Linked DNA regions of Arabidopsis thaliana. The protein of the gene in region 2 interacts with the protein of the main gene of each other region in a pairwise test. Each region holds a gene or a part of one and is shown on either strand. Other genes may lie near its edges. The genes, in order: ZAT and ABCG15.

Evidence for each region.
Region 1: the proteins of ABCG15 (region 2) and ZAT interact in a protein complementation assay, tested with the Arabidopsis thaliana proteins (one large-scale study listed by BioGRID).

The regions. Positions count from the first base shown.
Region 1 is NC_003071.7:19,225,365-19,242,015, reverse strand, and holds ZAT (zinc transporter), read right to left. Parts: upstream 6,643-16,651; 5' UTR 6,357-6,642; intron 4,846-6,356; exon of another isoform or gene 4,724-4,845; 5' UTR 3,984-4,723; intron 3,889-3,983; coding exon 2,692-3,888; 3' UTR 2,439-2,691; downstream 1-2,438. Other genes in the region: AT2G46810 (basic helix-loop-helix (bHLH) DNA-binding superfamily protein), read right to left, coding at 1-170, 249-848, 2,251-2,322; PRR9 (pseudo-response regulator 9), read right to left, coding at 7,115-7,213, 7,307-7,742, 7,827-8,098, 8,259-8,378, 8,466-8,596, 8,694-8,855, 8,956-9,142; AT2G46780 (RNA-binding (RRM/RBD/RNP motifs) family protein), read right to left, coding at 10,973-11,094, 11,182-11,548, 11,639-11,675, 11,779-11,926, 12,074-12,209, 12,300-12,500. UniProt on the Arabidopsis thaliana protein: Mediates zinc accumulation in roots and confers resistance to zinc. Involved in sequestration of excess zinc in the cytoplasm into vacuoles to maintain zinc homeostasis. Can also transport cadmium with a low efficiency.
Region 2 is NC_003074.8:7,388,071-7,404,721, forward strand, and holds ABCG15 (ABC-2 type transporter family protein), read right to left. Parts: upstream 7,027-16,651; 5' UTR 6,864-7,026; coding exon 6,632-6,863; intron 6,180-6,631; coding exon 6,100-6,179; intron 5,734-6,099; coding exon 5,272-5,733; intron 5,155-5,271; coding exon 5,032-5,154; intron 4,919-5,031; coding exon 4,787-4,918; intron 4,717-4,786; coding exon 4,432-4,716; intron 4,352-4,431; coding exon 4,079-4,351; intron 3,991-4,078; coding exon 3,883-3,990; intron 3,808-3,882; coding exon 3,427-3,807; 3' UTR 3,216-3,426; downstream 1-3,215. Other genes in the region: AT3G21080 (ABC transporter-like protein), read right to left, coding at 420-671, 813-932, 1,031-1,245, 1,326-1,479, 1,715-1,741; AT3G21100 (RNA-binding (RRM/RBD/RNP motifs) family protein), read left to right, coding at 11,092-11,936, 12,283-12,456, 12,584-12,763, 12,863-12,969, 13,093-13,335, 13,429-13,534, 13,644-13,800; PUR7 (purin 7), read right to left, coding at 14,626-14,691, 14,781-14,838, 15,018-15,064, 15,162-15,212, 15,307-15,396, 15,521-15,610, 15,781-15,861, 16,020-16,108 and 2 more.

The DNA.
Region 1 (16,651 bases), on a different chromosome or scaffold from region 2:
CTCGCACGCAACTTGTTCGACGAAATGTTCCTGAGACTGTTATCTTCTGGAATTTGCTCTTTGTTATCATCACTCTGTTGACTTCTCTTTTGTGCTTCAAGGGATTGCAACTGTTGCTCTAGGATCTTTACGAAGTCTATTGCTCCTCCTACTATTGACGCTTGGTCTCCCTACGAGAGATATTAGTTAAGAAAATTCGACATTTGATAAAGGTTGGAACTTTGATTTGTGGGTTTTGTTTATTATACCCTCTGGATGTATGAAGATGGAATGATGGAGCGGAGTGAGTTCAGATGAACGTTCATTTGGCGTCTGCGGTTTCGTTCAACCGCAATGTGTGTCATTCTTTGACTCTCTATCTCTTCTATGTTCTTTGTTGGTTTAGTTCTTCTTCTCTTTCGCTTTTCTCTTGTCATCAATGATGCCAAGTTGTTGTTTTTCCGCTTGCGTCTTGAACGCGCATTCTCTAGTGGGTTGAATGGAAGTTCTTGGTTTGAGATGGCTTCATTGACTCCTTCCAAAGATGGATTATGATAGTAGTGGTTGGTTTCAGAATGGATCGGTGAATGAAACTCTGGAACTTCATGTGGGAGGTAGTTTTCGAGTTCCCAAGGCTTTTCAAGTGTCTGGAGAGATAGTAGTGCTAGAAAGCTTGGGTCTTTGAATGACAAAAACGGTGAAGGGTCTTCACTTTGTTGCAGCATTTGTAGAAATGGTATTGTTGTGTCTTGCAGCAAGCTCGGAGTTGAGAGTTGTTGTTCTTCCTCTTCAAGGGCAAAGCTTTGATGATCCTCTACAGTTTCTTGAACTTGTAGGCTTCTTCTCACATTCACTTTTTGGTCCAAACACTGCAACAAAAGAAAAAACAGGGGAAGGAGTTACCTACCAAGTGAGTAAGAAGAGAAAGTGAGATTGAGAAGAGAGATATTAAATTTGGGTAGACTAGTGTGGGTTTTGGTTAGTGGGTCAGTCTAGCGAAACAAAATTAGAATGAAAAATGGAATGTTTCAAAGAGAGGGAAACAGTTGAGAGCAGATTTGTTGGTGTTTTTGGTATAACAAACACATATAGCATTGAATGCAACCATTGTGGACTCTTTTGGAAGGAGTAAATGCAAGTCCACATCTTTGAATCAATAGTTGAAAGAAAAGATTACAAGAAAGATAAAAACTAGTAACGTTCCAAATTGAGATAAGATACATTACACAGAGCTTGTTTTGTCCTTGAATACTCCTCTCCATCAGAAAGCTGAGCTCTTTTTCTTTCTCCCTCTCTAAAACAATGATGGGGAAGAAATAAATGTGAGGAGTTTCTAAAGCAGTTAGCTTTATAATGGAATAGTGGTCTTAAATTGCTATGAAGATGTTGAAGAGAAATTGGGAAAATTGAAAATGAGATATGAGAAAGAAAGGAAAGAAAACAAAGATGAGAACAGATGTTTGTTTGAGGACTGAAGATGAGTTGGTGAGAGAGCTGAGCAGAGCAAGAAGAGGAGAGAGAGAGCGAGTCTCTGACAGAAGCAAGGTCCCTCAGAGAAACATTATTGGCTGTGGCAGTTTTGTCTCGCAGCGAAGACAGACAATTGTGGGGACTTCTGTTAACACACGGAAGATGATGATGAAGAAGAAGAAGTAGAAGAGAAGAGAGTTTCCATTGGTTTTGTGTTCTTACATTTCATGAAAAGCTTGATTTTTGTTACAACCCAATAGATAAAAATTGAATCTTTTGAAGTCTCTTATTTCGTTAACCCGTGAATTGAGGCTTCTTATCTGCTAAACATGTAATTGTCGATGCCTTGGCTTTAAGGGTACTAACCAGTGTTTGCCTGTAAATATCTTTGTTTTTGCATCAGATTTTGTGTTTACGAGCTATCGAATAAACGGTAAAATTCCCTTTTTAACCTTTACTTCTTTGTAATATTTACAGGATTCCAAAGAAGTACATTTTGTTATCGATCAAATCCGAAATTTTAACCTCTTTGTTGACAAACAAGAACACAGATTCGATCTTAATAAGCTCACAAGAAGAAACCTTATCCATGTTCTCTCAATTGTGGCCTCTGTTTATCTCACGTGGTAAGTCTAACACAGCCAAAACAAGATCCAACACAAAAACTTGCCAGAAAACACGAATTAAGTTGTCTGCAATCTAGAGATCTCGTTCATACTACTGTGTAATAAGAGAACCAGAACCGCCTACCAAGTAAAAAAAAGAGTCAACTTTTACATAGTTTTTTTAAGAATGACTTACGAAGATTTCATCTTTACATTGTACTTGCTGATGTAACTTAAAGCTCTGGTTACTTACTCTCAGGACAAACATGGTCCACTTGTGACATATCAATTAAACCCCTAACAATCAGTCAGATTCTGTTTCTAACACAATCACAAGTCCCTGTGACTCCTAGGAAGATAATGAATCTTAAATGAAGGCAGACCTAAGAATGACGTATCTGTTCTAAGCAGTTGTGTCCTTTCACCCTTTTTGAAACAAGGACAAAAAGTTTCTTCCTTGAAGAGGAATAGTGCTTACTTGTGCTCAACCAAACGATGACGACATATAAGTATATAACTATACCAATATAAACCAAAGCAGAGGAACACGAGAAAGTGAAAAATGTAGAAACTTTATTGATTTTATTGTTAATGAGAATGCTGATACAAAAACCCTTCATCAGATCTTACTTAGCTTTTAGCGCTCGATTTGTATCGTGACATGACTAATGTTGTACTCCCTGCGGATGTAATCAATTACCTTGTTGAGCACCATATCTGCATCTGCTTCTGGTCTGATATTGACATGGCAAGCCAATAGCACTTTTCCCACTGTGATAGCCCATATGTGGAGCTCATGAACAGCCACCACTTCTTCCATTTCGAGCAAACCCTTTTCGAGCTTTGTGGCGTCAATCTCTCTGGGTGTACTCTCCATCAATACTTCTAGAATGTTGCGAATCATGTTGATGGTTGTTCCTAGGACAATAACCGAAAAGGCAAGTGTGCAGATCAGATCCACTATCTTCCATTCCGGATTGTACCAAATGATAGCTCCTCCAATCATAACACCAACACTCTGGATGGAATCCCCAAGGACATGCAGATAAGCTCCTTGGAGATTGATGTTTCTCTTTCTTTTCTCTTTTGCTGCGACTTGAGTCTTCGATTTGTCCAACAATTGCTCAGTAACATCCCCATGAGCATGATGCTTGTCCTCTCCATGACCATGACTATGGCCATGTTCATGATCGTGATGATGGTGATGAGTGGTAACAGTCACCCCATGGCTATGATTGTGATGGTCATGGCCGTGGCCATGCCCATGTCCATGACTGTGACCATGATCATGCCCTAGCAGAACAGCCATTATGATGTTCACCACTAGACCAAAGGCAGCAACCAGAAACATGAGGAATCCATTAACCTCACTGGTCTCTGTAACAATTCTGATAATCGCTTCATAAACCAGAATACCCGTGAGCAACCAAATGAGCTGGATAGATACAAGAGCACCCAAAATCTCAATCCTGAAGAACCCGTAAGTCTGCCTAGGAGTCGCTTCCCAGCCAGCAGCCCACAATGAGAAGAGGGAGATAGCAAAGGCAGCAACGTCAGAGAGCAAATGAGCTGCATCGGTTAATATAGCTAAACTATTGGCTTTAATCCCACCAACAACTTCAACACTCATGAACACTAGACACAGCACGACGGCGATACAAAGCTTCCGCATAGAAGCAGAGCGTTCGTGAGCATCCCCGGAAGCATTCTTAGAATCTGAAAACCCACATGGTGCTTCTCCACAGACTTTACTCGCCACAATTATTCTCTCTTCATCAGATTTTCCAACATTAACCTCAACAATGTGACTATGGTGGGGACTTGAAGACTCCATCTGCATAAGAAAAAAAATAGAAGAAAGCTCAGACAACAACGAAAATCCTGATGGATGTACAGAACTCAATACCAACAAACACAAAATAAAGTTACCTCTACAATAAAGATAGTGGAAACCCAATTCAATAGAACCACAAGAGTTTTCTTATTTGGTGATCTGTTTCAACAAAAAAGAAAGCAAATTTATCCAGAAATATCAAATCAAAGGACAAAGACATGTATCCCACCACATTCCCACTACTGCTACAAAAAGGAGGAACTCGTCAAGCAAACAAACAGTGTCAACGCTTTCACACCATATAATAACACAAAGAGTCAAAACCCTAAAATACAGATTCAAGTTTGACCCCTCAGTAAATAAAACTACTGTTTGTATAAACAGAATCAAAGTGTCCCAATCAGATAAATTCCAGATGGCAGAGTCAGAAAGTGAAAAAACAACAAACCCTAACACGAATAATAAAAACAGAGGCAAGCAAAAAGGTCAGATTTTAAAGAAAACCCGAACCCTAAAAAAGTGGCGAGAGGAAGAGAAGGGCTCACCAGGAAGAGATACAAAAGTTGCAGAAATTGAAGATTCTCAGTAGTATATAAGAATCTATCTCTGGGTAAGGGGCCAAAAGAAGAAAGCTATTTAAAAAAGATATGGGGGAGCTCCACCGATTTCATGAGAGATCCACCTAACCCTTTTTTTGGGTCCCCTTTCTCTCTTATCTCCTTCGACATCTCTCTTAATCGGAATCTCTTTCGTTGACGGTGAACATGATGAACACGTGGCCGTTTTTTATGGTCCGTAATTTTTGCTGTCTTTTTTTTTTTTGCTTTTTTTTTACCTGTGTATAATGATTGGGTATCTTGTCAAACCGGTGAAATTTTTAATTTAAACCAATCAATCTAGTGGCTTTTTTAATCGGTTTCATATATTGGTTCGCAGAAGCGGTTTAGCAAAATGATTGGGTTTTCACTTTTGAGGGTTTATTGAATTGACTAAGAAGAAAAATTCCAAAACATAATTTAAAATTTAGTTATGTGAAAACTTCGAATACCAAACTTTATAGATTAACTAAGGATATGATGTTTATGTACGGTTAGTTTTGACATATTTAAACTTTATCACTTAAACTAGTTCTTAAAAAGTTTTAGTGAATTAATTTCTTAAATTTAGTAAAAACAATCAACATTTTTCAAAAACTAATTATAAGTATTACAAACACCAAAGCTTACGGATCAACTAAATATGAGATATCTATGTGCGGTTAGTTTCAACGTGATTAAAATTTACCATTTAAACTAATTTTCAAAAAGTTTTAAATGAACTGATTTTTTAAAGTTTAAGTGTTAAATTACGTGAAAACTTTCCAAACTTCGAACACCAAAACTTACGGACCAACTAAGTACGAGATGCTTAGGCGCAATTAGTTTTCAACGTGTTTAAAATTTACCACTTAAACTAAGATTTAATTTTATTTTTTTAAACAAGTGTTCAATACCTAAATAATTTGTAAACCATATTAAACCTAAAACACCACCTACATGTTTGAATCTTGTATTCAATTAGATTACACAAAATTAAAAAAAAAAAATTATCCCAAAAAAACATTAAAGGTTTAATAGTAATGTAAAAATATAAGTCTAAAAACATTTTTTAATAAATGAAAAACAAGTGTTAAAAACTTAAATAATATGTAAACCATATATTAAACCTATAAATGAAACCTTAAAACCTTAAAGATCTAATAGTAGTATAAAAATATAAGTTTAAAAGCATTTTTAATAAAAGCAAAACAAGTGTTAAAAAGTTAAATAATGTGTAAACCATATATTGAATCTAGAACAGTTTTTAGGGGTTTGGATGATGTATCCAATTAGTTTACACAAAAATTAAAAATTTAACACTTATCCAAATAAAAAAAAACCTAAAGATTTAATAGTAATATGAAAATATATAAGTTTAAAAATATTTTTAACGAAAGCAAAACAAGTGTTAAAAAGTTGAATAATGTGTAAACTATATATTAAACCTAGAACACCTCTTAGGGGTTTGGATGATGTATCCAATTAGATTACACAAAATTTAAAAATTTAACACTTATCCAAATAAAAATACCTTAAAGATTTAATAGTAATATGAAAATATGTAAGTTTAAAAACATTTTTAATAAAAGCAAAACAAGTGTTAAAAAGTTAAATAATGTGTAAACCATATATTGAACCTGGCACACCTCCTAGGGGTTTGGATGATGTATCCAATTAGTTTACACAAAATTTAAAAATTTAACACTTATCTATATAAAAAAAATCTAAAGTTATAATAAAATATAGGTGTAAAAACATTTTACACTTAAACTAATGAAAATATATAAACATTTTAGTTATATAAATGTTATGGTGAAACTAATTAGTTTTACTTAAAAATAATTTTGAAGGTAAATAAAACAAAAAAAAAAAGAATGAAAAAAGTAATACCTTGTTGGATTTAGTAGCAAAAAGGGCCCATAGAGCAAAGCCCATTCCAAAGTCAGATTTGAGCCCGTCGGTCTTTGGTAGCCCTCTCGTGACATCATCCACCACCATAAAGCTCTCCCCTCTCTTGGCTATATCCTCCTCTTTGTAGTCTCCTCTTTGAAGACAAAATTGTCTTGAGAAGAGAACTAGGGTTGAAGAATAAGAAGAAGCGAGAGATAGAGAGTTTTGATTTGTCGAATGTTTTAGAAGAAGCGTTGAGACTCTCACTAATTATTTATTTATAAGCAAAGAAAAGGAAACTGATAATCACAATTAACGGTCACAAAATCTTAGTTTAACGGTCACAAAAAAAGATTTCTTTGTTGATTTTTCTTTCGATAGCTTTTGTTTCCTTTTTTTGTTTCTCTGACTGTGAGAGAATTAATGTGATGAGTTTTAATACATAGACTATAGCAATGGTATATAAATCAAGTTTTATAGAATCTGTTTCTTGTTGGTATGTATCGAGAGAGAAGCGGCCTGGATATGATCACAACAAGAAATATTTCTCAACTTAACGAAATTGGAATTACTGTTTTAGCTTAGCCTGATCATTTGCAGACATATATACAAAAGTTGCCCCAGTATCTCATATTAGCTGAGAAGAAGAAGCCAATCAAATACATAAAAAAAAAAAGCACACTAAAGATTGCAAAAGCTAAATAAGTTTCTGTTATAAAATCAACAAAAGAAATCAGAGGAAAAACTGAAAGAGCTCTTCATGATTTTGTAGACGCGTCTGAATTCACGGTTCGCACGAACTGGCCTTTCACTCGAGGACGTTGTTCTGCTAGCTTCTTCCTGCTCTGGTACCGAACCTGTAATCCATTTTTATACATCTCCATTGAATCAGTTTGATCTTGTATTTGTTTCAGATGCTGTTTTTATGATGAAGCTTGTGTGTCTCTTACCTTTTTGTCAAAGCATCGATCTTTCCTCTTCAACCGGAACTTCATCAATGCAGCTTCTCTCTGGCTTCTACTCCAACGTTGTTTCGCACTTTCTTCTTCCTTTGGTTTCTCTGTGCTACTGCTTTGTCCAGCAATCCCCTCATTGGTGCTTTGAGAACCAGCTTCTACTTCCTTGCTAGCTGCTTTCTCGCGATTTGATTCTACCGGTATGGGTGAATCTTGCTTCTGATTCGTTACTGTGGACTGAAGAACTTGGTTACGGAAGCTTACGCTTGATGATCCGATATTCTCCTGGTTGCTGCTCGTTGTGGCGCTTCCTTGATCAGATGTTACTTTTCTTAACTTTTCATGTGATTCGGTTGGTGTCTTTGGCTCACCTGAAGTACTCTCCTCTAAAGCAACGACGGCTTTTTCTGCTGACTTGCTTTCCTCAAATCTGCAAGTTAAGTAGAGTTATTGATTAAAAACACTAATTACAAGATTTGAGGCATTCTTTATTCAAGCAAGGAAACATGCATACCTTGAGAAGGCCGACGCATCAGAGAGGCTAAGCTTTTGATGCTTGCTTTCATCTTGGTTCTCAAAACTTACAGAGCAAGATCTTTTCAGAGAAAGTCCAAGCTCAGGACCAACACACTCATCTCGACTCTTGTCTTTATAAATACTATCAGGACGCTTGTCAATTCCACCAATCAAATCCATTGTCACATCAAAAGTTTCCTTAAACTCGTCTCTTTCATCCACTGATTTGCCATTCTCCATCAGCTTATTGTGACCATTGTAATTGATAGCCTGCATAAGCATGTACACGATATTAGCTTCTACTAAAATGAGATAAACATGAGATATACAATGCAATCTCAAGATGAAAATCTCACAACTCATACAAAACACAATTCAGAAGGACCAGAACATATATTATGTAAAACTCAGATGGTAATATTTATTATACCTGAGCACCACTTCCTTGATCTGAATGATATCTGGAATCTTCACAAGTTTCATCAGTATCTTCAAGGTTGTGCTGTGAAGCTGGTAAGCTTTGAGCATGAGCAGTAGGATCATCACGCAACTGATCCATAACCAAAAAAGACAATAAGTCTTTCAAGTTTCAAACTTCAACACAAGGAAACCTCAAAAAAGGAAATAAAAAATTTACAGTCAGTCTTCTCCAAACATGTTGCCATAGATTTTTCAACTCGTTTTTCCTCATTGGTTTGATTAGATAATCAGCAGCACCTCTCAGCATACACTTCAACACCATTTTTATCGAATCTTGAGAAGACATCACTATTCATTTCAAACAAACAACAAAAGCATAAGAACCAAAAAACTAACAAAGAGGCGTTTTTAGAGGTATAAAGGACTTAGGGGATCACCATCGTACTTATGACAGGAATGTTCTTGCAAGCTTCATGCTCCATTACCAAAGCAAGCAGAGCAAAACCAGATATAGATGGCAAATCCAGCTCTGTTAGTATAAGATCAATGTTATGTGACTTCTCCTTTAGAACCTCCCACGCAGCTAAACCATCAGAAACAGCTACAACTGTATTCAATCAAAAAGCATGAACCGAGTTTAATTTCAAACATCAAAACATAAAAATGAAAACTTTAACATAAGCTAATGAAAGGAAAGACCAATCGACCTTTGTAACAGCATTTACGAAGAAGGGCAGTGATGATTTGACGAGTTGAGTAATCAGATTCAACTAACAAAACCCTAAGTACAGTTTTAGGCAAATACTTCTCCCACTGAACAACTTCCGATGACTTTACTCTGTTCTTTATAGTCTCCATACCATCATCACTACTTAAAACCACAATCTCCCCCATAGACTCAGACCTCAAAACAAACTGAATCACAACACTTGGTAAAACCAACAAAGCCTAAAACACACAAAAATAGAAACAAGAATCTAGATCAACGAGCTTTAGATCTTAATCTACCGAGAAATATTGTTTCAGACTGAATAAAAGAGAGAGAGAAAATATCAGATGTTGAAGTAAAGAAGAAGGAAGAAGAAAGTTAAACTCTTTAGTTTGGTATCTTTCGATCACAACCACGAAAATATCTTCTCAGAGAAAGAAGAAGACTTTGTTGTATAAGCTCAGAGCAAATAAACAATTTGAGAAATCTAATTAACGGTGTGTAACAAAGCGGGCCTTCACTGAGCTGACGTGGCTTAATATGAGCCATTGTTTTGATTTTCTCTGTATCGCGGCTGATTCGGTGGAGGTGGTCCTCTGCTTCGCAGGTCCACCTTAACACGTGTCATTAACCTAATCGCTCTACGGAAGTGGAGATATTCGTCTGAATATCTAGTGGTCATGTGGATGACACGTGGGTTTCTATTGTAATTGTGTGGCTAAGTTTGATTTTTGGTTGGATTTAATAAATTCTAAAAGGTAGATTTTTTTTTTTCAGCTGCTCTATGTATCATTCAAATTGGATGGCTTTTTTTGTTCCTTTTTTCAAAAAAGTTAATTATATTAAATGTTATTAAATTTTCAATTGGGATTTAACAAATAGTATTATTTTCAAATATTAAATGCCCACTAGTTTTAATTAAATCAAATTTCGTTAGTGGCCGCGTAAATTTCGACTCCAAATGAAAAATTGGATTTTCTTGAATATAAAAATTTTCTGTGGATAAGAAGGAATTCTAGAACCATCTTAATAAAACTTTGCTTTGCGTGGAAAGAATATCTATCGATCTATGATGTGGACAGTGCGTAATAAACAACTTACCATATTCTTGCGTGTTTACATATCTAAGGCTTTAAGCTTTCTATGGCCAACTTACTTACACATATAAAAATTAATGGGCTTTATAAGAATTTAAGCCTTAGATTTTCAAAAGCCCATAACTTATGTATTCTCTATGTTTTGTTTGTTTGGTTTTTATTATAAAATTGTTAAAAGAATAGTAGAAGTGAAATATTATCCATTGACGAAGAAAAAGATCCGTTTGATTCCAACGGTCTTTTGACCGGTACTTTTGTCTTCATAAGATCCCCTTTGGAATCCAAAGACAATAATCATTTTACTCTCAGAAAATGATCATACGAATTCAAAATAATTATCAAAAAGGTTCAATCTTTTTATGATTATAAAACACGAGAAAACTCCAGGTGAAAGTGATCGATGAACGGATTCTTGGTTGATCAAACATTTTATAATCATAATAAACGAACAAATATAGTAAGAAGAAGCAATGTGATTGAATTATAACAATTTCAAGAATTACAAATGTAAAAGAAATGATTTTAAGCTTATCCGAAGCTTAAAAATCCTGTTTAGGTTCAAAAGAAGACATAAAACATTTCTTTTGAACCTGAAAAATAAAATTCCCCAAATGAATGTAATAATCTGATGATGCTTTCTGCACCAATCCAAGTTTTCTTAAGAATCTAAAAGAAAGCCACCAATGCTTTCTCTTGATTCTTTTACCTAAAATGCAATTTGAAACAACAACAAAAAAAAAGAAAGAATGTGATGATGGTTTCTTCTTCTTCTTCCTCCTCCTAAGTACTAATTAAGATTCTAGAATCCTAAAAACGATGGATGAATGAATGTTTCTAGAACGTTGTTGGAGAGATTTGATGATGAGTTAGTGTACAATGAAGTTTGTCCCTTCTTCTGGCTATTGTAGTAGTTCTGAATCAACCCTCTATCTTGATGGTTGATGTTGTCATTGCTTCATTACCATCTTTGCTGCTAGCTTCAGTTTCTGCTTTCTTTGTTGCTGTAGTTATAACTACTGTTTTTGTTGCTGTTGTTGCAGCTAATACAAAACAAAACAAAGAATCAAGCATGATTCAAAACAATGTGACAAATGGTTTTCAATGTAGATTGTGTTGTGAAATCAAACCTGAGGTGGAAGTTGAAGAGGACGGTGATGATGATGAAGGTAAAGATAGAGCCAGAGAGGTTGGGAGGGAGAGGATTGGAGGAGGAGGTTGCTGAGAGCTAAATTGCTGCTGAGAACTGAAGTGTGGCTGGTGAGGCAAGTAAGGATATTGCAGCAGAGGAGGAGCAGGAGGAGCAGTGTATTGAAAGCTGAAACCTTGGTGATGTTGAGCTTGAACTTGAGCTTGAGCTTGATTGCTACTTTGTGCTGCATTGTATTGAGGATAGTAGGGATAAAAACCATGGAACATTCCTGTTGATCCTGCTGATGGATGTCCCATATATGGTGAAAACTGTTGTCCTCCATAGAGATGATGATTGTAGTAGTTCTGCAAACAAACAAAAAACACAAACATAAGAACTTCAAAGATTTATCAGTGAAATGGAAACGACTCTACAAATTTATAAAATGAACTTACCATTGGGTACATTCCCTCTTGAGAATAACCAGAAAACCTGCAGAAGAAGAAAACACAAGCATTTTAAGTTTTGCTTACACACACACACGCACACTAATCAGAATGGATTGTTATTTAATGTGATGATTATGTATTCTTACCCGTAAGTAGAGTAAGGAAATGGGAATTGAGCAGTGTGTTGTTGTTGTTGTTGATGAACAAAAGCAGAGGAAGAAGAAGAGCCTCGAAACTGAGGAGAAGGAGCAACTAATCCAACTCCTGATCCTGGTGATCTGAATCTACCTGTTCCTGGAAATCAAGTTTCCACCAAGAATCGTAAAACAACACTCTTGACTTCTTCACGTGTTGATCAAGTAAAAAGATCAGATTTTTCCAATCACCCTAAAGCTAGTTCCCATTGGAATTAAGAGAGGAGAGAGAGAGAGAGATTCAAACCATGTCGAGGAGAAGTAGGAGGACGAGGTTTTTGAGCACCAAGACAAGCAAGATTGCAATTAGCTCTTCTTCCATCAATCACAGGATTCATGTTCTGACAAGCTCTCATCGCTGCTTCAGCTTCCTTAAACGTGACCTAATCAAATAAAAAAACTGATTTTTTCAGAGAAAAAGAGAAACTTTATCATCAAAGAAACGAAAAAGAGAGAGAGAAGAAGGAACATACAAATCCATATCCTTTAGATCTTCCAGTGTTCTTATCAGTAATGACAACAGCTTCAACGATTTCACCAAACTGTTCAAAGTAACGTCTCATTGTATCTCTCTGAGTCTCCCAAGCTAATCCTCCAACAAAGATTTTCGTCAACTTGGTATCTGTTGTATTATTATTACCACCTTCCATCTGAAATTGTCTCTGTTGAGCCATCTCTGGATTGCTTTTTCCCCAATTCACAAAACCCTAAATTCACATCCAAAGTTTCAATCTTTCTCTCTCTCTCTGTTGCTTTCTTAACACAACCAAAAAAACGAAATTTTGATCCAAAACAGAGGAAAAAACTGTAACTTTTCCCCTCCCAAACAAAGAAGAAAAAAGAGTGAATTTGTGTGTACCCTAAAGAGTGAAACAAGAGAGGAAGAGGCAAAAACCTCTGTTTTAGTAGAATGAAGGAAAAGAAAATGGAGGAAGACAAGAAAGCTGCTAGTGGGAACCCACGACAATGGGGCTATAGAAGAGAGAAGAGAGAAGCAATTGAAAATATGAGGAAAAGCCAGAGACCCAATTTTACCTTTTTCGCTGTATTTTATATATTTATGCGTCTCTTGTGTACATAAACATTTGCTTCGCTGTCTTCAACCTTCTCTCTTGATTTCTGCAAAATTCTTGATAATTAAACTTTCATTATTATCAAAAAAATAAAACCAAACTTTGACCATTCGTCTCCAAGCATTAATAAAAATAACTGTGAGAATTTTTTAATACATATCGAAGAGAATAATCTGCTGAATTTTTCTCTATTTTATTTTATTTTGGGTTTATTTTAAATTATTTACACTTTTTTTTGTGCAGTACATAACCCAAAACAAAAATGTTTTTGTGGGTCTTGACTTTGTGGCACAATCTTCTAAATTCTATCTTTCCTTTTTTCGAATTTTTTGGATGTTTTGTATTTTTGAATTTTAACTGTAAACCCTTTATTATAAAAAAACAATGAAATAATTATAAATGTAGGGCAGACCTGGTTTTTAACACAGAAGACAGGTTGTCTTCCTCAAAACATTTGCAGAAATTGCCTATTCTCAGTTTTCTTATAAAAAAAAAATATTATCCTTACAAAAAAAAAAAATCATTGTAGCTTGTCTTTTAATAAAGTCTGTTAGTACAACTTTCTTTTTTATTCGATCAGAGCCGTCAAAATGTATCATGTGTCACTGTTTACTACTACTACTATTAAGTACTAACGGTAATTGTGGAAATATATGCTCTTTTTTTTCGTTTCCATTTTATAGTCTATGATATTTTATTTAAATAGTTTATTTAGACCTTGTTGAAAACTCTCAACGAATGATCGATCGATGCGTCTACCAATCATTAGCCGTTTCTTTTAATAGCATTAGCAGTTTTCTCAACTTAAAGCATTCTGATAACAGATTTTGCTAAAACTTGCTAGTGGCAAAATCTATAGAAACGTACCAATGTATTAGTGATTAGTGAAATGAAAAAATATACGTATTGAAATTTTGAAGTATTGTGATTTATGAACAATTGAATCAACACATGCGTTTGTCAGATCACGATGTAAAAGTCAATTTCAACATTCGAAAATTTGGTAGCCCAAAACTTTATTCTTTTCCTTAACAACATCAATCAGTGATTAATATATATATCACCTTCGTAATCAATATTTTGTGGCAATAATTATCATTATTTTCCAATTTTGGATTTTGCTTCTAAAGCCGTTCCACATCTCTTTGATTTTGAGGCACGTCTACTACGTTGTTTTTGGAATATAAATATTTATTTTACAAAATGTAATGTATAAATTTCACATATATAAGAAAGAAAGTGTAGATATGAGTTATTTGATGATGGATAGTGTCGCACTGATAAATCCACATGAAGGCTGCAAGATACAGGCAGGCATGCACATGTTTATGCTCAGCCACTTTCCCAATATTATTATATAGTATTAAAAAGTATTCTAACTAAAATATTTATTTTATTCTCAACTTGAACAAAATCACCGTTAGATGGATTGCACTTTATCATCCAACGGTGTGTATCACAAGACTTTATCACGCGTACGTGGTCCCGCGTGCATGGGATCATTGATCTGAGTGATGTTTTTATTACAGTACAAAAATTGACGCGTGACGTGTCCAGCGATTTTGTTTCCTTAAAGTCTGAAAATCCGTTATAAACGCTGTTGATTGGTCGTGGCGTATGAACGTGACAGCGAATGATACGGATTCCCGTTATTTTGACCGTCAACGTTTCCTTTGCCACGTGGTGGAATCTTCGTTGGCAGATGGGACTTTAATTGAAAAGAGTAAATCATTTTTATCAAAAAGGAAAATTAATATTATTATTTTTTACTACTGGCCACCTCTTGAAATGAAGCAAGACTATTTGTGGGCTTAAAATCCATTTCTAAAGCCCAGTAAATCTATGTATACAGAATTCACACTATCTCATATGTAATATAATGGAGTTTACGGAGTGTCACATTTTATGGCTTGATTCATAAAGTTTTGAACTGTGCGAAATTTCATTTCTTTGGAATGTATACATATAGTAGACCAGCAACATAAAGCACACTCTTCCGTTAACGTAATTTGAACTGACTTCAAATCTATTATGTATTGAATCAGTTTCTTTTTAACCAGTTTAGCTGATTAAATATATATATTTGGAAAATTTATTCATTTCTTATGATCTGCTTAAATATAGTAACTGACTGTTAATACATAACATAGTAATCCGTACAATGAAACATTGATTCTGATAGCTTCGTATATATGTTTTACGAAATTAGTCAATGGAAGAGAGCTTCTAATTTTGATACTAAAGCATTCAGATACCTAACATGTGCCTATCTCTATAAGTTGAACGATATCGACTTCCATGAGATGTACATTCTGATTCCATCATTAACGATTCAGGCCTTAGCCGAAATTAGCAGACCGCTATGCTCTAGTTTAGGACACCTAGTTATACAAAAGATTGCTATATATATATTGCCAGCTTATAGGGACACAATCATTACGAAGGGACAAATCTTAATTATGTAACCATCGATTGGGTGATCATGTAAATAAAACGAAATGCGTCATATACATCATACTCTATCCTTTCAAATATCAATATTTGAACACATATATGGTTTGCATAATGTAAGAAGTCAAACTTTGGCGACGTCCGACTAGAGTCTAGAGACAAACTACTATGAGTCTGAATGTGTTAGTTCCAGACTTCGAGTTTAGTTTTATTAAGGAAATTTTTTTTGTTTTAAAAAATGTGTTTTAATTTTTTTGAAAGTATTAGTACTACGTTATATAAATCGACGTTAGCAAAAAGACTCCTTAAAAAATGTTAAACAAATTACAAAACCATTAAAAGAAGAGAAATATTACAAAATACACGTGGATATCGTGAAAGGGTCCAAAGTCTATGGAACTACAGACTTGCCCTTCGCCATTAAAGAAAACGGAGTGTGGAGTCATGACGTCTCACCCATTAAGGCTTAACATATTTTGACGAAAATTCACCAAACTAAGATTGCTTCCCATGCAAACTTTCTTCATCTTCTAGAGAGTTTCCAAATTTAAGTTTTTATTATTTAGAAACAAAATTTCTATCAGTTTCCTTCATTACTTATTATCCATCACCAAATGTATCGTTTACCATGAAAAACAAATACTCTTAAAATAAAATAAATAATAACCAATTTACACTATGAGATATATCCCTAACATATTAAGGTTAATTAGCATATGATTTAATATAGTAGAAAAGAATAATGTGTAATCAAGTGAATAAATAAAAATATCACGGCGTTGAGAACGTACAGATATGTATATTAATATATGCATGTGACAGTTTTGTGACATCATTTTGTAAACTAATAATTGACATAGGCATCAATGAAACCTACAATACTTCACGTGCTCATGGAAAAAACACCAACAATATATAAGTAATGCCCTCAGAACTTACTTAAAGATACGCATATATTAGAAATTTAAATAATTCTACCAACAAAAATTTTTGTAAAGAACTATTTGTTTGTAGAGTTGGATCAGCATCCAGATTTAAACCCTTATTTTTGTTTTTGCCAAGCATCCAGACTTAATCCTATATTAGATACTGTATATGCATCTTGATGGAATATAGACTATATAGAAAGACCAAAAATGGAAGAGTACGAATAAAAATGCATAATATACCTTGGAAATTATTCTTGGTTATTGTGAAACTTAAAACATTTCAACGAAGTCATATACTATTATTTAATCATTGATTTAAAATTGCTAATCAAATCACGTGTTGTTGTTATATATGGATAAAGAGTTAAACTA
Region 2 (16,651 bases):
AGGAAAGAAACAGAGCAGCTACTTCTTCGCCGGTTGTACTCTCAAACCGTTTCAGTCCTATCATCTCAGAAGACAGTGGCTAGATGGTCGACACTTGTAAACAGATCCAATGTTGCTACAAAGATCCAGAATGTTCTTTTGCTTCTATAAGTATGAGTCTCTAGAATCAATTGTAATATTGAGTTGGTGTATCAATCAAAGTAAGATTGAGTACAAATCTCTTTTCTTCTTTATTCACAGTCATCACAAGAAAAAAACAGATATCCCTACATTTTGTTGCTAAAAAACAGGAGGAAAAACAAAAAAAAGTTTCAATAGTGGAACATTTGGGTTTAGAGTTTGGTAAAGAAAACTTATTCCAACAATGACAATGCTGATCTTAAATAGATAACCAGATCTCATAGATGATAATGCTGATATTATGAAAGCTGCACATTAAAATAAACTTTCGCCTGAATCACCCTTGAAGCTGGTCGTGCTCTCTCCTTCAGCTTTTGGGCCACGAAGAAAAGAAGCCAGGTACACACAAGGATTGCTATCACAATCTCAGGGAAGCCCCACCATCCTGAATGCGTCACCTTTACTCCAAATTCATTCATATTCATTTCTTCTCCTGTCATTTTCGGCTCGTCCGGTGATAGAGGCCCGAGAAAATTGTTGTTGTGCCCTAGCTGTATTAATAATAACACCAATGTTCTTATGTTTAACAACCTCTAAGATTCAATCTTTTTTTGATAGCTAGAAAACATTATTTTATGTTCTTGAATAGTTCTTGCGAGTGATAAGCTCATAAAGTCAAGCTATTGACTTACCTTGATGGCCCAAGATCCAAAAATCATGTAAGAAATCGTGTAGGAAATCGAGAAACGGCAAAAGATTTTGGGAAGATCAGGAAGAAGACGGGAGAATCCAGAAGACGTCATGATGATTCCCTTTCCAAAACATAAAAACAGACATCAGTTTATTCAAGATCTTTAGTAGCTTTCTTTGAAGTTAGTTAAAAAGAAAACAGAGGTCGCTCTGCTCGTACAATAAGGCCAGCTCCAGTGAAAAGACCAGTCAAGAAGTTTGGAACAAACGAAGCCACAACCATCATGAGAATCTCTATTACAGAGAATGACAAAACACCGGGCAAGTTCCCTGATTTGTAAGTTATAATTCCTCTAATGCGAGTGCCATTATGCTGCAACTCTTGGTTCCCCCATCTCTCCAACTCATTCCACTCAGCAGCCTCGGCTTCGGCAGCTACAAATACGCAAGAATCTCAAAGAGTAAGTCCCAAAACGGCAAAGAAAACACCTTTTGTTTCAAATATCCAAGCTTACTTCTCAAAGAAGGCAGACTCCGATGGTCGTATTTAGTCTGTTGAATAGAAAGCTCCTCAACAACTTCCTCTGATTGAGTAAGTGAAGACCAATTATTGAAATAGTTATCTTGGTTTGAGTACAAACTTTTTCTATCTTTATTTCCATAGGGATCCTGCCAAGAAATACAATAAGTTAAAATGTTCTGATTCAGAACAAATAATTGGTCTATTCAGAACACATAACTACCAGTACCACTAGCTCAAGAGGAAGTAAAAAAGAAGAAGAAGAGGAATCTACTCTAAATCTTTAACTGAAGATGAACGCATAAGCCAATTCATGAACGCTAAGGTGAACAAATAGAGTGACTAAAACAGAATCAGAAAGAGAAAGGGAGGAGGTTAATTTACAGTGAAATCGAAGTCGTGTGTCGCCATTGAGTTCTATGACCGAAGATGATATATCGAGAGAGAGATTAAAGTTCATTAAAACAAAGATATATATACTCAAAGCCAAAGATAGTCGTGTAATTACACCGTTAATTACTTGGGCATTTACAGATATAAGTTGGGTCCCCAACAACGCGTAGCAGCTTTTGAGGACTTCAGCAATTCTCCATAGGCATAGTTTATCTAAGAAAATTGGGGTCGAAACCCTTGGCCCTTAATGAACAAGAGGCCTTGACACTTGACTAGCACGTCTTCGTCCTCTTTCATGGCAATAATTCAACCAAGTTGCCTTTATTTTTGTATTTTCTTTTGCCTACGTATTTACTTTACTTTATTGAGGTTTATAGTTATGCTTTTAGTATGCTTTTTTTTTTCTTTCGAACGACTAAAGTCTTCTTGCAATCATGTTAGAATGTTTAAATGGTGATCAGTATCGAATTTATGATTAACACTAGTACTTTTTGATTGGATGTGATTGTGAATTCCTCTTTCGTAGAAACTGACTCTACTACTATTGTCTTTTACGTAGAGACTAATTTAATAACTATCGACTTTAATTCGGGCACAAGAAAATGTATTTGGGAAATTAATGGGAAGAGAGTCAGAGTCAACCAAAACATACCTTTTGAAGACTATTTTGCCAATTTTGTCTTTGGTTAAACGGTCCTGTTCTCTCTGTGTCGATCCATATCAAGTCCTCCAATGTATTGGACGAACAAAGATCTTATATAAAAAAAAACTTAACTTTTAGATACTATCTTATGAGTATATGGACATGTTTCATATTTGTTTGTGTTTTACTTTCCTTTTGTTAAATGGATAGTTTTACAGTCCTAATAATTGCTCTAAAAACATTATGCATTTTTTTTATTTTGGCTAAAAAAATTATGCATTTTATTAGAACACTCCAACTAAATTTATAAGGAGAATTTTGATAACTAAATATATGCATGTGGGTCTTCCAGAGAGCTTCATTTTCGTTGACTAAAGGACAACGTGTCAATTTTTGCTTAATTTCACACAAAGATGGCAAATTAATAATCGAAATTTCTTCGTATGTTGTTTTCTTAACTATTATCAACTTATATAAGTTTTTCATTTCCCCATTTAAATTACCTAGTCTTTCTTTAGTCCATCTAAAATTTAGTTAAATTTGAGTTTCCTTATTTCATGTCGGAAATCTTGAATGATCACGATAATATTGTACTTGTAAATTTTAGTTTTACTCATGATAAAATTTTGGTATCAATATCTCCAATTTAGTATATACTGAGTTACTGACTGACCGAGCCCAAAATGTATTTTTTTCCTCATGGGATCTCAAGAAAATGTTCTTTCTTTTTCTTTGACCCTTTACACCTAAATAAACTACTTTTGGTCATTTAAAGTTGACTATGGGATCCGGGTATCTCTGCGCCATACTTATTTGGACCAAACATGTTGGTGTAACAAGGTTTTCGTTTTTATTTGGCCATACTCTCACTGTGCGCAACACTGTCTTACTTGTGTTACATAAACCTTGAAGTAAAGTTTCAATAGTGGAACATTTGGGTAGGGTTTATCAAACGAAACTTTGTTATCAGTTTGTTCTTTTTCTTCAACAATGACAAAGCTGATTAAGATGAGATCTTGATGAAAGCTTCAGAACACATGCATACATTATATTAAGTCTTTTAGTAGTGGATAGGAGAGTTAAGGCCTTCTTGAGAAGAAAGTGAGCGGAGAGGTTGGTGTCTCCTTGAAGACATTGACGACAGTGAAAGAGACAGAGAAGGCATTCTCTTAAAAGAAGGTCTCCTATCAAGATTCCTCATCGTTCTTTTCGCCTGAATCGCCTTCAAAGCAGGTCCTGCTCTCTCCCTCAGCTTTAGAACCACGAAGAAGAGAAGCCTGTAACACACAAGGATTGCTACTACCGCAGCTAAGTCCCACCATTTTGAATATGTCACCTTCACTCCAAAGACCTTCTCTATCACTTCCTCTCCTGTCATTTTCGGCTCACCCGGGAACAATGGCTCGAACTCTAGCCCTAGAAAGTCATTCTTGTACCCTCCCTGCAACACTCCCAAATGTATTATTTTTATGTTCTTGAATCGTAATAAGCTCATAAAGTTAGTTTCTTGACTTACCTGGATAGCCCAAGAACCGTAGCTTATGTAAGAAACCGGGTAACGCCAAAAGATTTTGGGAAGATCAGGAAGAAGACGGAAGAATCCAGAAGTCATCATGATGATTCCCTTTTCCAAACACAAAAACAGAAATCAGATTCAAGATCGTTCAAAGCATTATTAGTAGAAATGAAAACAGAGGTTGCTCTGTTCTTACAATGAGGCCAGCTCCAGTGATAAGACCCATCAAGAAGTTTGGAACAACAGAAGCCACAACCATCATGAGACTCTCTATCACGGAAACTGAGAAGAAGATGTTGAGACAGAAGAAAGCGTAATGCGAGAACCCGGGACGAAACTTCACCAAGTTGTAAGTAATAGTTCCTGTGATAACCGAAATCGCAACCAAGAAAGGGAAAGAAGAGATGTAATTCGAGAGGATATAAACCGAAACGCCGTAGTATCCACTTAGCCTCTCCTTATAGAACACCTGAAACAAAGCAAACCCGCATTTTCATCGATAGAGCAATTCAAGATTTGTGAGATTATAAGTAGGGTTTTATTATTTACCTTCATTTCTTCGAGGAAAGAAGGGAAGCCTCCAATGGACATGAAAGTCATGAAACCAGTGATGAATCCGCCGCAAGAAACACGGGCTAAGATTGATGTGTAGCTATAGCCAACGTCGTAGAAGATGGTTCCTACGCTTATAGAAACAACAATGTAGCTTATTATTCGTGTCCAATAGTAACCGACATCACGACACATGTTTATGAATGATCTTGCTGTTAATGTCCTAAGTTGTTTCCACCAGGTTGCTTCACTTCCTTTTCTTATTTCCATCTCGAGCCCTTCCTGCGAAAAAAGCCAGTTATGGAATCCAAGCAAGCCTGTGAGTTAACTTGAACAAGAAGTTTAAACTTACGATGTTAGATAGTTCTCGAATCCTAGATTTTGCGGATTTCGCATACTTTGAACGCTTGTAATTCTCAACAAGCCTTGCTTTGATCACAGATGTTGCTAGATTCATTAGAGGATCTGATGTAGCTGGTGTTTCCTGTAGTAGAGTAAGTATTAACCTTAGAAAAATTGCAATAAAAACTTGACTATGTATCCAAAAGACTTTAATTTGTGCAATGTTCTTGATATTGATAATGGTTACTACCACACCTGAATTCTCTGAGATCCTTTGAGTGTAGCTGTGACTGTATCAAAGTCCGAGTTTATACATCGCAGAAAATGATCGGAAGGATTCCTCTTCTTCGGGCACGGGAAACCCGATTCTGCAAAGAACTTCATTCAAACAAACAAAAGCAAAACAGAGTTTTCTTCACTATCAAGGCAAGAAAATAAACAAAAGAAATTGTGTGTTTTTTGTACTGCAAGAAAACAAAGAGTGTAGGGCTTTACCTCAACAGCAGACTTGGCTTCACCAAAGTAGACAGACTCACCACTCGAAAGCAAGAAAAGATCATCGAACAGCGCAAAAACCTCGCTGCTGGGCTGATGAACCGAGGAGATTACGGTTCTGCCATCGCGTGCAATGTTCCTAAGCGCCTGAATAACGAAAAACGCAGAAGCACTGTCCAAACCACTAGTGGGTTCGTCGAGAAAAAGGATTTGAGGACGAGTGAGGATCTCCAAAGCAATGCTGACACGTTTCCTCTCACCGCCACTAACTCCTCTGGCGTGCCAGTTTCCAATGACTCTGTCTGAACAGTCTTGAAGACCAAGCTCCATGATTGTGCCTTCCACGATGTCACTCACTTCCTCTTTAGACATATCACTTGGAAGTCTCAAGTGAGCTGAGTATGTTATTGTCTCCCTCACTGTTAGTGTCCCCAACAATACGTCCTCTTGTGTCACATATGCCTATATATATAGTCACAAAATGCATACACTTCAAGAGCAATCAATGTAAATACCTAGTCATAAAAACTTTAGGTTTTTGTTATTTTGAATGTAATGTTTTATTGTTATACATACATGGGCTATAAATATATTTTTAATGTGCCAATATTATCACACATTTATAAGAAAATAATGTATAGATCTTTGACCTTTGCACCACTATGTACTTAGGACGGAGCTGTCTAAAATTTGTTGCCATAAATGAAAATTGATAATGTTTCGCCACCACAAGTGACAAGCCACAAGGACGTTACTATTATATATTGAACTAACAAATTAGCTGCATGTTGTGAAATTGTGGGTAGAAATATTAACGAGGAAACTTACTACGAGACCGTAGTCTAATCTAGCTTTCTTGCCGTTCAGTAGAAGATTACCGGTCATGACCACGTTTCTTGCGAGTCTACCTGTGGATAATTCGGGAAACTTTATTTTATTAATCGATTACAAATTTTATCTATGATGTGAAAAAAAAAACAGTAGTATAAAATTGCTTTCTGTTTGTATTGGGATGTGGAAATGAAGACAAATATCAGAAAAGGCAGCTCCAGAAATCAATTTTGCATTTATGAGGAAATTTTCTGCAGTACTTTTCTGCCATTCCTTGCATGCAATGCACCCGAAGTAACAATACATATAGAATTATAGATACTATTCAATAATCAAACTTTCCAGTATATATATCATAAGGATGATCGTAACAACTAGAAAAAAACAAAACAAAGGGCTTTATAAGTTATAACTTTAACTAGCAGGTTAAAGATGATCTAAAACATAGTTACAAATAATATTATCAAACCAAGATATGTGTTATGCATGCAGGCTGCAGCAGTTAAATCATATAACTGCAAGAACGAACCTGCAAGAGAGTCAAGAAGAGTGGACTTTCCGGATCCGGAAGGACCCATTATAGCCATGATCCGACCCGGTTCTGCATAACCGTTTAGCCTTTGGAGCAACCTTCTGGTTGGACCATCACTGAAATTGGGTATTACCACCGTCAAGTCTTCCCACGCCAAATACGCTCCACGGCTCATCTCCAACTTTGACGGCAGCTGCCTCCGGCCACTACTCGAGCCCTCCAGTTCCATTTGTTTTTAGTTTTGTCTCTCTAACTAGCTATAACAATGCTATAGAGAGAAAGAGAGATTTTAATGTTTTGTTTGTTTCTTTTTCGTTGGTCGGAGAGTGAATAGTAAGAAGGAACAGAAGAAACAAAACAATAAAAAAGGATTTATAAGCTTTTGCAATCACCAAACAACTAAATTCATTAATGGACTGTCTTTAATACGGCAACATTTACAAGTGCGCATGTATATCTACAATTTTGAGGAGTAAAATGTCAATGCTAGTTATCTACGATATAATATTAGTATTTTTCTCAATAGTAAATGCGTATAGAGATGGAGATAGATCGATGGCACGCGTATTAATATACGTACAATGCGCTTTTATTGGCTTATGATGGGTATGTAATAGTCGTATATGTAGATCCTATTCATATAGTCGTGTAGATTGAGATTACATTTTGAAATTAGTTTTGCAACTAATTGTGACATTAAATTTTGTAATCGTCGGACAAAAACTCTAAACTCTCATAGCAAAATAAGAGAACCTCTGCAGTCTGCATCCTCAAATATTAAATCAGTTAACTGAGTTAAACCTCTTTTTCAAAATAAAAATAAAAATCAGTTAAGTGAGTTGATTAGCCACTAAAATTGAAGCAAGTCTACGAAATCTGACATGTTTTTAAACGCGAAAATGATGCAGCTTTATACAAAAAAAGTAAAGAAATGTTTCATTTTTCATTTAATTAAGAAAATGAGCAGCTTGGATTCTGCAACAGACATGAGCTGCTTTGGAATCATTGCTTGTGCCTTATAGAATTTGTTTCGGGTAAGCTGCTTTGGCTTGTTTGTAGTAGGTGTTTTTGCTGTTTTGATGTTTTTTTGGTTTAGGGTTTTAGACCCGGTGATGTCTTTGTTTTCACCGGCTTTTTATTTCAAAAACGTATTTTTCAAGATTGTTAAGGAAAATTTCAGATGACAAACGAAAAAAAATCAAACAGAGAGTCACGGGTCTTAAATTAAATGCGAGATCGTAGTTGAAGCCCATATGCTTATCTACGGTTACACATTCATTCTTGCTTTATAATAGTATGCTTCTCCATTTATTATGCTCTAACTTTGTTATGGCATAACTTTATTTATCATATGATATATGACAGGGAATTTTAAAATATGAAGTGATAACGTAACGTTGATAAAAGAATGAATGAAGTGAAAACCTTCCAACAAAGATAAGAATTAAGAAGTAATAAGAACCCATACAACATAAATGACGTTACAATAAAATGTGATATTATAAGTAGTATGGAATAAATTTAAACCGAGAGGGTAAATAATATACATAGAAGAAAAAAAAACAGAGATTGAATAACGATATAACGTATATATATGGTCACAGTCTCATAGACCACGAAAGCCACCTAACTTACAAAAATGAAACCTATCATTGATTGGAATGATGTATTTGTCAACACCTATTAAGCTATATATGATGTAATAATGCTCTATACATATAACATTTTTATGTTGTTGTAAGAAAATATAATTTGATTCAATGTACCAATTACTTGGTTTTAAATGCTGATATCTATTCTTAGCTTAGAATGATTGAAAGTCTTAACGTTTCTAAAGCAAAGATTATGTATAGATTTGGTCGTACCAACACATCAAAAGTCCAATGGCTAGAACTCATCATATTCAAAAACCCGCTTGTGGGCAGAAGCTGTTCTTTGAACTCTAGTTATAAAGCCATTTAATATTTCTTTTCTTTTTCGATATGAGATATTTTAGCGATGAGTTAGTGATCATTTAGTCACTTTCCTTCCAAATGTGTGAGATCTGAAAAATCTTAAAAACCATTGCAGGAAAAGTTTTATGACAATCACTTCTTCTAGGTTAAAATGCAACCAACAACGTAAAGAATCACCAAACACATGGCAAGCAAATAAACGTGGAAGTAAATTACATAGTTGGGCCGCCGGTGGGCATTTTTACTTATTCTCCGGGTTCTCTTCTTCGGAAATGTGATATATGCTTTACTTGGGCCTAAATGGGCTTCTTTTATTGACATGCAGATTTCTATCTTTAATCTCGGAAGAAACAATTCGTTTTAGATTACACGGATTGGAAAACAGCTTACAGATTAGAGTGACCAGACTTGCCCAAAAGAACAAAAGTGTGCAACATGATTTGTTTTCTTCTTTTTTTCTGGCATTCATGATGTGACACCTACTCATACACCTAGGATACTAAAACTTATTGCCCCATTTTTAATTTTAAAATGTTAGATACTAGTCCTTGATAGTCATCATTGTTTTATCCATTTCCGGAAAAGTTTTAATACAGTTTTTAAAATCTTATTTAGTCAAATTAAAAAACCACATAAAAAATAACGAAAATTTGTTTATTTTTTGGCAAATTGATAATTCTCGTTTTCCATGAAGAGCATTTACTTTTTGTTTCATTATTGTCTGATGCATGGTTCTGCCAAAAAATAATACGAACTCTGGTCAAATTGACTATGACCATTGAGAACCTCACGTGTCCCCGTAAAGCAATCTTCGCAGTTGACATAACTGCTGCTACAGTTTTTGACGGTTGAGATCAGACGAGAGTATTCAAGATTCGGTGCACTCGTCGTAGTGGAATTTGCCAACTGATGAAAAATTTATGTCACGCGCGGGTTTTAGTGAGTCAGGGCAAAGTAAGCGCTCGTATCGAGGCACGGTTTCAGTTTTTTTTGCGGTAAAAACGGAAAAAAGTTAAAGAGGTTAAAATTTGTTTGGTTTTGTTTTCCAAACAAGAATACTAATTTATAGTAATTTCTTCTAGTTACATGGTTGTTACACCGAATATATCACAGTCAATTCTATGTTCTTTAAAATTCAAAACACAAGATTTTTGCTTAGTTTTATATAGTGGTCGTGATCAATAATAATATCTTTGGCAATCTCTTTCATGTACTTTTTTCACACCTTCTCAACCAAATATGCATCTTGGACTTGGACACATGGGAATAAACAAAATTGAGGAGTATTTCTTTTGTATACCATGCATGGATTGGATTATAGCTATGAAATACATTAAATCTAAGACCTTTGAATGACATATCTTTTTATTAAACTAATTTTTTAAAACAAAAGTAGAAGTTTGATTGAACTTTATAAAGTAGTGATCTCATAACACAAAATTTAATCAATTTTAATCGATTCATAATAAATAACTTGTAATCCCTAAATTAGTAATTTTAAATTATGTTATAGACGACAAAAGTACGATTGCTAGGGTAATTTTCTCGTTGTCATATTTCGACAATAAAAGGGAGACACGTGAAATCAACGTAGAATCAACTTTTGACTACTCCGAAAACTAATGCGCATTCGGCATCTATACATAGGTTACACATATAAAACCAAATCCGAATAACTCGCAAGCGCATAAATATCAAATATTCTTGGAAAGTTGTGTTTCAGAATTTATTTTTGTTTTAATACTTTTAGATCGCTAGCTAATTAATATTTTAAATTACAAAATTAATTAAATCTAAGTTATTTGTAGAAGATATCTTCTTATTAAACTAAATTGTTCAAATAACACATAGATTGAATTTTAATTAAACTTTATATATCAGTAATTTTGTAACGTGTATATTTAATTAAATTAAGAAAGATTTATATATATATAAAAAAAAGTCAATAACACATAATTTTTAGTAAAAATAATTAAGGTATATGAATGAATAATAACATACTTCCCATAGAATCAAATCCAACTAGTTGACTAAGAAATTAAGAGTTAAAGTTTTCTAAACCAAAAATGTTGCATCCAATGGGATGTGTATATAAACACCCTAGGTTGGTCAAGGGAGAAGAAAAATATACTATTGTTAAACAAAATCTTAAAGACTAATTTATCTTTTTAGCAAAAAAAATTCGATTTTTAACTATAATCCCGCTCCTAGTCTTGGACAAACTTCAAAAAAAAAACCCTAAACCCAATATCACAACAACAGAACCCGAAAAAAAAGACCACATTACGAAAGTAGTTTTTTTTTTGCTTTAATAAAATGGTTCATTAGAAGACAAAATCATAGTCTCAAATCTCCTAAAAAAAAACATCACATTTAACGCTACAAAAAAACCCAAGTTAGTACCCACTACTCTCTCACAAAACAAAAGAGCCTCTTCTTCTTCTTCTCAATCTCTCTGATAGAGAAACCAAAGCAAAAAAAGAAAAGAAATTTACTGTGACCATGGATCCAGGAGATCCTACTTCGATACTTTTCACAAAGATCAGAACTTTAGAACCAGATTTCGCTTCCAAAATCATTGGTTACTTGCTTTTACAGGACTTGGGTAAGACAGATTTGATGCGTTTGGCTCTTGGACCAGAGACTCTCTTGCAGTCCGTTTGTCTCAAAGCTAAATCTGCTTTAGGTCTTTCTTCTAATGGATCTTCTTCTGCTTCTTCGCCATTGAACCCTATCTCCAGACCCATTAACATCCACCGTCATTCTCTCTCTCACTCTTCACCGGGAAATGGGTTTTCGAGGAACCCTTTGTCTCCTTCTTTTGCTACTCCTGGTTCACTCGGAAGTAACCCTAACATGATTTCGAGTCCGTTTCAAGCAAGTTCGTCTCTTTTTGCTTCTGACGGTGCTGCTGCTGGTGATTCCACTGGAAACGGCGATTTCCTCGATGAGCAGCAACTAGGGAACTACTTGTCGTTTCTTAACGAATCTTCTTCGAAGAATAACGACGAATCTCTGGATCCGTTTGGGTTCTCGGCTGATAACGGCGATGCCCATTTGCATAAGAGGAGTTTCTCAGCCAGTGATGCTTGTTTTGGGTCAGAGGAGCCCGGATTTGGTGGCGGGGGTTACAACAGGTTCCTTCACGGTGGTTTAGGTGATGATTTTGATTCTCCTGGTGGTTTTGGCTCGCCGGATTATGTTTCTAGACAGCAAGAGGAGATTGTGAGGATGAAGATGGCTCAGAGACAGCGAATGGCTGCTGCTCAGTACTTGGCGGCTACTGGTTCTCCAATGTCGTATGAGAAAGGCCTCAATTTTCTCTTGCATCAGCGTAATGCGCATAGGTAATTATGAAATGAAGCTCCTTTTTTTTGCCTTAGAATGTGTTTTTGGTTGGTAAAGTTTTCAGATTTTACAAAAGAAATGTGTTGGTTGCAGTGAATCATGGAAAAGTTTGTATCTTTGAGATTTGTTTTGGTCTGAGATGTCAATTATTGCTTCTCGAAGTCGTTTTCGTATGGTTTTACTACTTTTGGTATTCATTTACATACCAATGATTGTTTTTTGTTTTTTTTTATTGCTTACGGCTCTTTAGTCAATCTTATGTTTGAAGTATGATTGAAGATATCTTCGTGTCTATGATATGTGAATTCATAGTTTTCTGTTTCCGGTGGTGTTTTGTTTTTGCAGATCAGGAGCAGGACAATTTGGGGAAGAGGGTTACTGGTTTGGTAGTCCAGGCCGGCATGAAAGGGATGAGTTTATGGGGATGGGAGATAAATCTAACTCTGCATCTAAACAGATTTACTTGACATTTCCAGCTGACAGCTCCTTCACAGATGAAGATGTCTCCAATTATTTTGGGTAATCTTTTACAATTGTATCAAAGCTGTTATGTGTTTGTTTGCATCATTAAAAGTTTGGTGGATGTCTACTAATGTTTGCCTGGCTCTGTTATTGTAGACTGATTATGTTTGTTGTTTTCTTGTAGCAATTTTGGACCAGTGCAAGATGTTAGGATTCCATACCAGCAGAAACGGATGTTTGGGTTTGTCACTTTTCTCCACTCTGAAACTGTGAGAATCATATTGGCCAGAGGAAATCCTCATTTCATCTGTGACTCACGTGTGCTTGTTAAACCGTACAAGGAGAAGGGAAGAATCCTTGAAAAGTATGTTGAAACCACTGCTCATGCCTTGTCTCTCCTTCCCATATTCTTCTTCTCTTTTTGTGTTCCCTTTTTCTTATAATAATCCTTATTGAACCATAGCAGGAGGCAGCAGCAACAACTGCTGCAGCAGATGGAGAGAGGAAACTTTTCTCCTGGTTCAAGTCCATCTGGAATGGATTCCAGGGATCTCTTTGATTCTCATCTCGGTTAGTTGAATTTATTTCCTATGCTTGATTCCCCTTGTGGATATGGTTTCATCAGAGCTCAACCTCTTCTTTCGATTTTTTTGTTATGGGTTCTGAGACCAGTCTTGTTTTGTTTGCTACCAGCACCAAGGATGTTTTCTAACACACAGGAGATGATGAGGAGAAAAGCTGAGCAAGCTGACCTGCAACAAGCAATAGAATTCCAAAGGAGAAGATTTTTGAGTCTGCAGTTGCCCGACATGGACAGTGAATCGTTTCTCCATCACCAGCGTAGTCTTTCCATTGGATCCCCCGTCCATTTTTCCCCTCGTGTCAATCAAAGCATGCTCTTTCGATCAGAAAGCACCAGTGATGAAGTCTTCGAAGGTAATGGTGATCAAGTCTATCTTGCCTACATCGAACTTTGACTTTATATAGCTTTTATTTACTTTTGCCCTCTTCCGTGTTACCTCTTAGCAGGTAATGGTGATTCAGGACATCAGTCTGAAGCAACCCGAGCTTTTCTGAGTGATACTGGTCATAACATCAGCCAAGAACGTGGTTACAATAGCCATCTTAACAAAGGGTATGGCTAATATGATAAGAATTAGTTTCTGATCATTTTCAGGGCTTTAAGTATTTTTTATATGGTTACACATCCACTCTTATCTGTGCTTCTTTTATTATTGCTCAAGGCAAGAGACAAGTCTGGAGAATACTCTGCCTGATAGCTTCTTTGCTTCCCCATCAAAGACAGGTGAAACCCAACACCCCGAGTTTGAGAAAGAGAATTGTGCTACTATCTCTGTTACTACAGAAAATAAGGCAGCCTCGTCACTTCAATCAGCCTAGCAATTGGTAGGTGGAAACTTCCCCTTAATTCAATCACATCATCACATAACAATCGTTAACACTTGTTAATACCTCTTCCTGGAACTTTCCAGGTTCGATAGAAGCAGAGAGAAAGCGTGAAAAGGTAGGCACTTTAAGCCAGACTGAAACTTGAAGACCCTCTTAAAGGTTATTGGGTTATTAAGTGTTGACCATGGTTTTAGTTTCTTTGGTTGCAGAAAAGTAGAGACTGATAAAAGCAGGAAGTAGAAGAATTTTGTCTATATGTAGAAGCTAAAGCCGGTTATATAACATGGAACAGAAAGAAGGGTAGGGAGACCAGTTAGGATTTTACATATCTCGAAAAAGGCAGTTGTGGAATGCCAATATGCAATAGAAATTACAGCTAAGTACTAACCTCGACAAAAGCATTGATAGGCAGAACAATACAGTGACTGAAACCTTCAAGTTTTAAGTTTTTCGTCTGTTCATCGATGATTGTTTTACCTTTTTACCGGGTCACAAGCCCTGGTTTGGGACAAGGCTACTTCAGTTGTCAATATAGATGAATGTCTTTTTTTTTTGGCTCGTCTTCAGTGAGACTATCTTGTTTATAGACATGGGAGATCAAAAGCAAAACTGATCCTTTCTCATCTGATCAACTATATATTCTAATTCACCAAGCCTGTGTCAATTAGTTTTTTTCATGTTTATTCGTTTGTTGCTCAATTAGAACTTAAGTTGTCTTTGATTCATAATCCATGAAGACAACAATAGAACACATATGAATGCAAAAAGAAACAGACTTATGCTCTCTGCATCCTTGGCTAAAGGTTACATTAAAGATCAAAGTTGACGGAGAGATGAAAGTGCTTGGCTTGTGTTCCTTGAGATTCGGTCATGTATTGGTTCCTGTCAACAAAGCTAGAGTTCAATACACTTGAAACTCCGATAAACTGAGGGTGATAAAGTAGATATTTTGGGCTTGATCAGGATCATACCTGAGTCGGAATAATGTCAATTCTTGATCCAGTGATAGTTTCATACAAGAAAATGTACCTGCCATCACGGTTTCTTGCATCAGTTTTCAATACCAAGACTATAGCGAAAACTAACGTAGACCAGCGAATCTCTGATCTCACAGAGCCTTAAAGCATGTACACACAATGTTTCTTTCCATATCGAAAACATGAACTAGAACAATCCTATTATAAAGTTTACAGATCAAAATACATTACCGCCAAGCTAATTCAGTCACGAGTTCTGCTGGAGCAGCAGGCAGGACCTGACAAAAACCGACGTTCGAGACACCACGAATTTTAGCAGGGGTTCTCAGATAGAGCAGGAAAAATGGAAATTACATTGTGAAGATGTAAGCATACCTCGTCCTCATACGGATTGCAGTTCTCTTTGAACCACAATCTTAGGAACTCCTATTTGGATTAAAAAAACGAGAACATGTGAGTGAACAAAGTACTGCAAACCAATGAAACCTGACTGAGAGCAAAAACAGGCAAAATCACTAACCTTATCAACATTTTCAGGCTCCAGGCCTTTTTGGAAGCGCTCTTCATATGAACCCGCAAGCCAGTATCTGCTGGAATCGGGTGTATGAATCTATGAACAATGTGAACAAGTGGATGATGATTCTAATCAGTGATTTTGGCAGTAGTGCAGATATGTGTTCAACTTTGCATTCAAAGAGAGACAGACATGGAAACGAAGAGAAAAGATAACAGACCTCATCAATCAATAAGATTGAGCCATCACTACTTCTTCCAAACTCATACTTTGTGTCCACCAATATCAGTCCATGTTTCTTGGCCACCCCCTGAAGCAAGCATGATATATTAAAATCTATTAGACCTTCCAACAAAGCACAACATTTGAATATAGAAACCAGCAAAAATATATCAAAAAACTGATTTCTTGTGGTCTGCAATTTAAAGATTATGAAAATCGCAAAAGTCTATGGCTTTAGACGGAGGAGTTGTAACTAACCTGCCCAAACTCAAACAAGCTCAAAGCTTTCATACTTGCTTCATCAAATTCAGCTTGAGTCATGAATCCACCTTCAACTATCTGCATGAATCATCTGGAGAATTAGAAGAAACACAGAACTACACAATTGTGGCTTAGATATTCTTGTCTTACAGCTAAGATCACAAGAAGAGCAAACAAATGACTCAAAAACTTTTCTATAGTTTCTACATTTATTTACTGTCTCAGGGTTATTAGACCTCATTTGGAGAGATGGGCACATCATGATCCGCAGCCTTAGTTGTTGGTGTAAGTATATTAGCTGGAAGCTTCTGGTTTTTAACTAATCCTGCATAATTTAGTAATCAGCATATCAGTGATCTTCTAAGATGCACTTAAAGAAGAAGACAACTAATAAATGGCAATAAAGAAACTGTACCATCTGAGAGCTCATTCCCACAGTAGTTCCGAACACCTTTATTGTACACCGTCCATAAAGATGTGTCAGTACTTCCAGTCACATATCCTCTAACTACAAATAACAAACATAAGAGACCAGCTTAGAACTAAAGCATATAGAGACTGCATAGGGAAGCGTCTGACAAGGTACTCTGTATCAAGATCCAATACACACTAACCCACAAACTCTATGGGAAAAACCGAGCATTTCTTTGCGATAACAACATTTCTATCAGGAGATGAAACGATTGCATTTGGAGTTATGTGCTGTGTGTTATTGAACCACCACAAACTTGTCTCATTAAGAACCTGAAAGTTAAGCACCACTAACTTATTATTCGTTGCAGTTTGATCTACAGACCAATGTAGAGAAGTTTGTCGGTAACACTTTAAAGCTATCCAACTTGAATAGCACAAACATGAAGAAAAACAA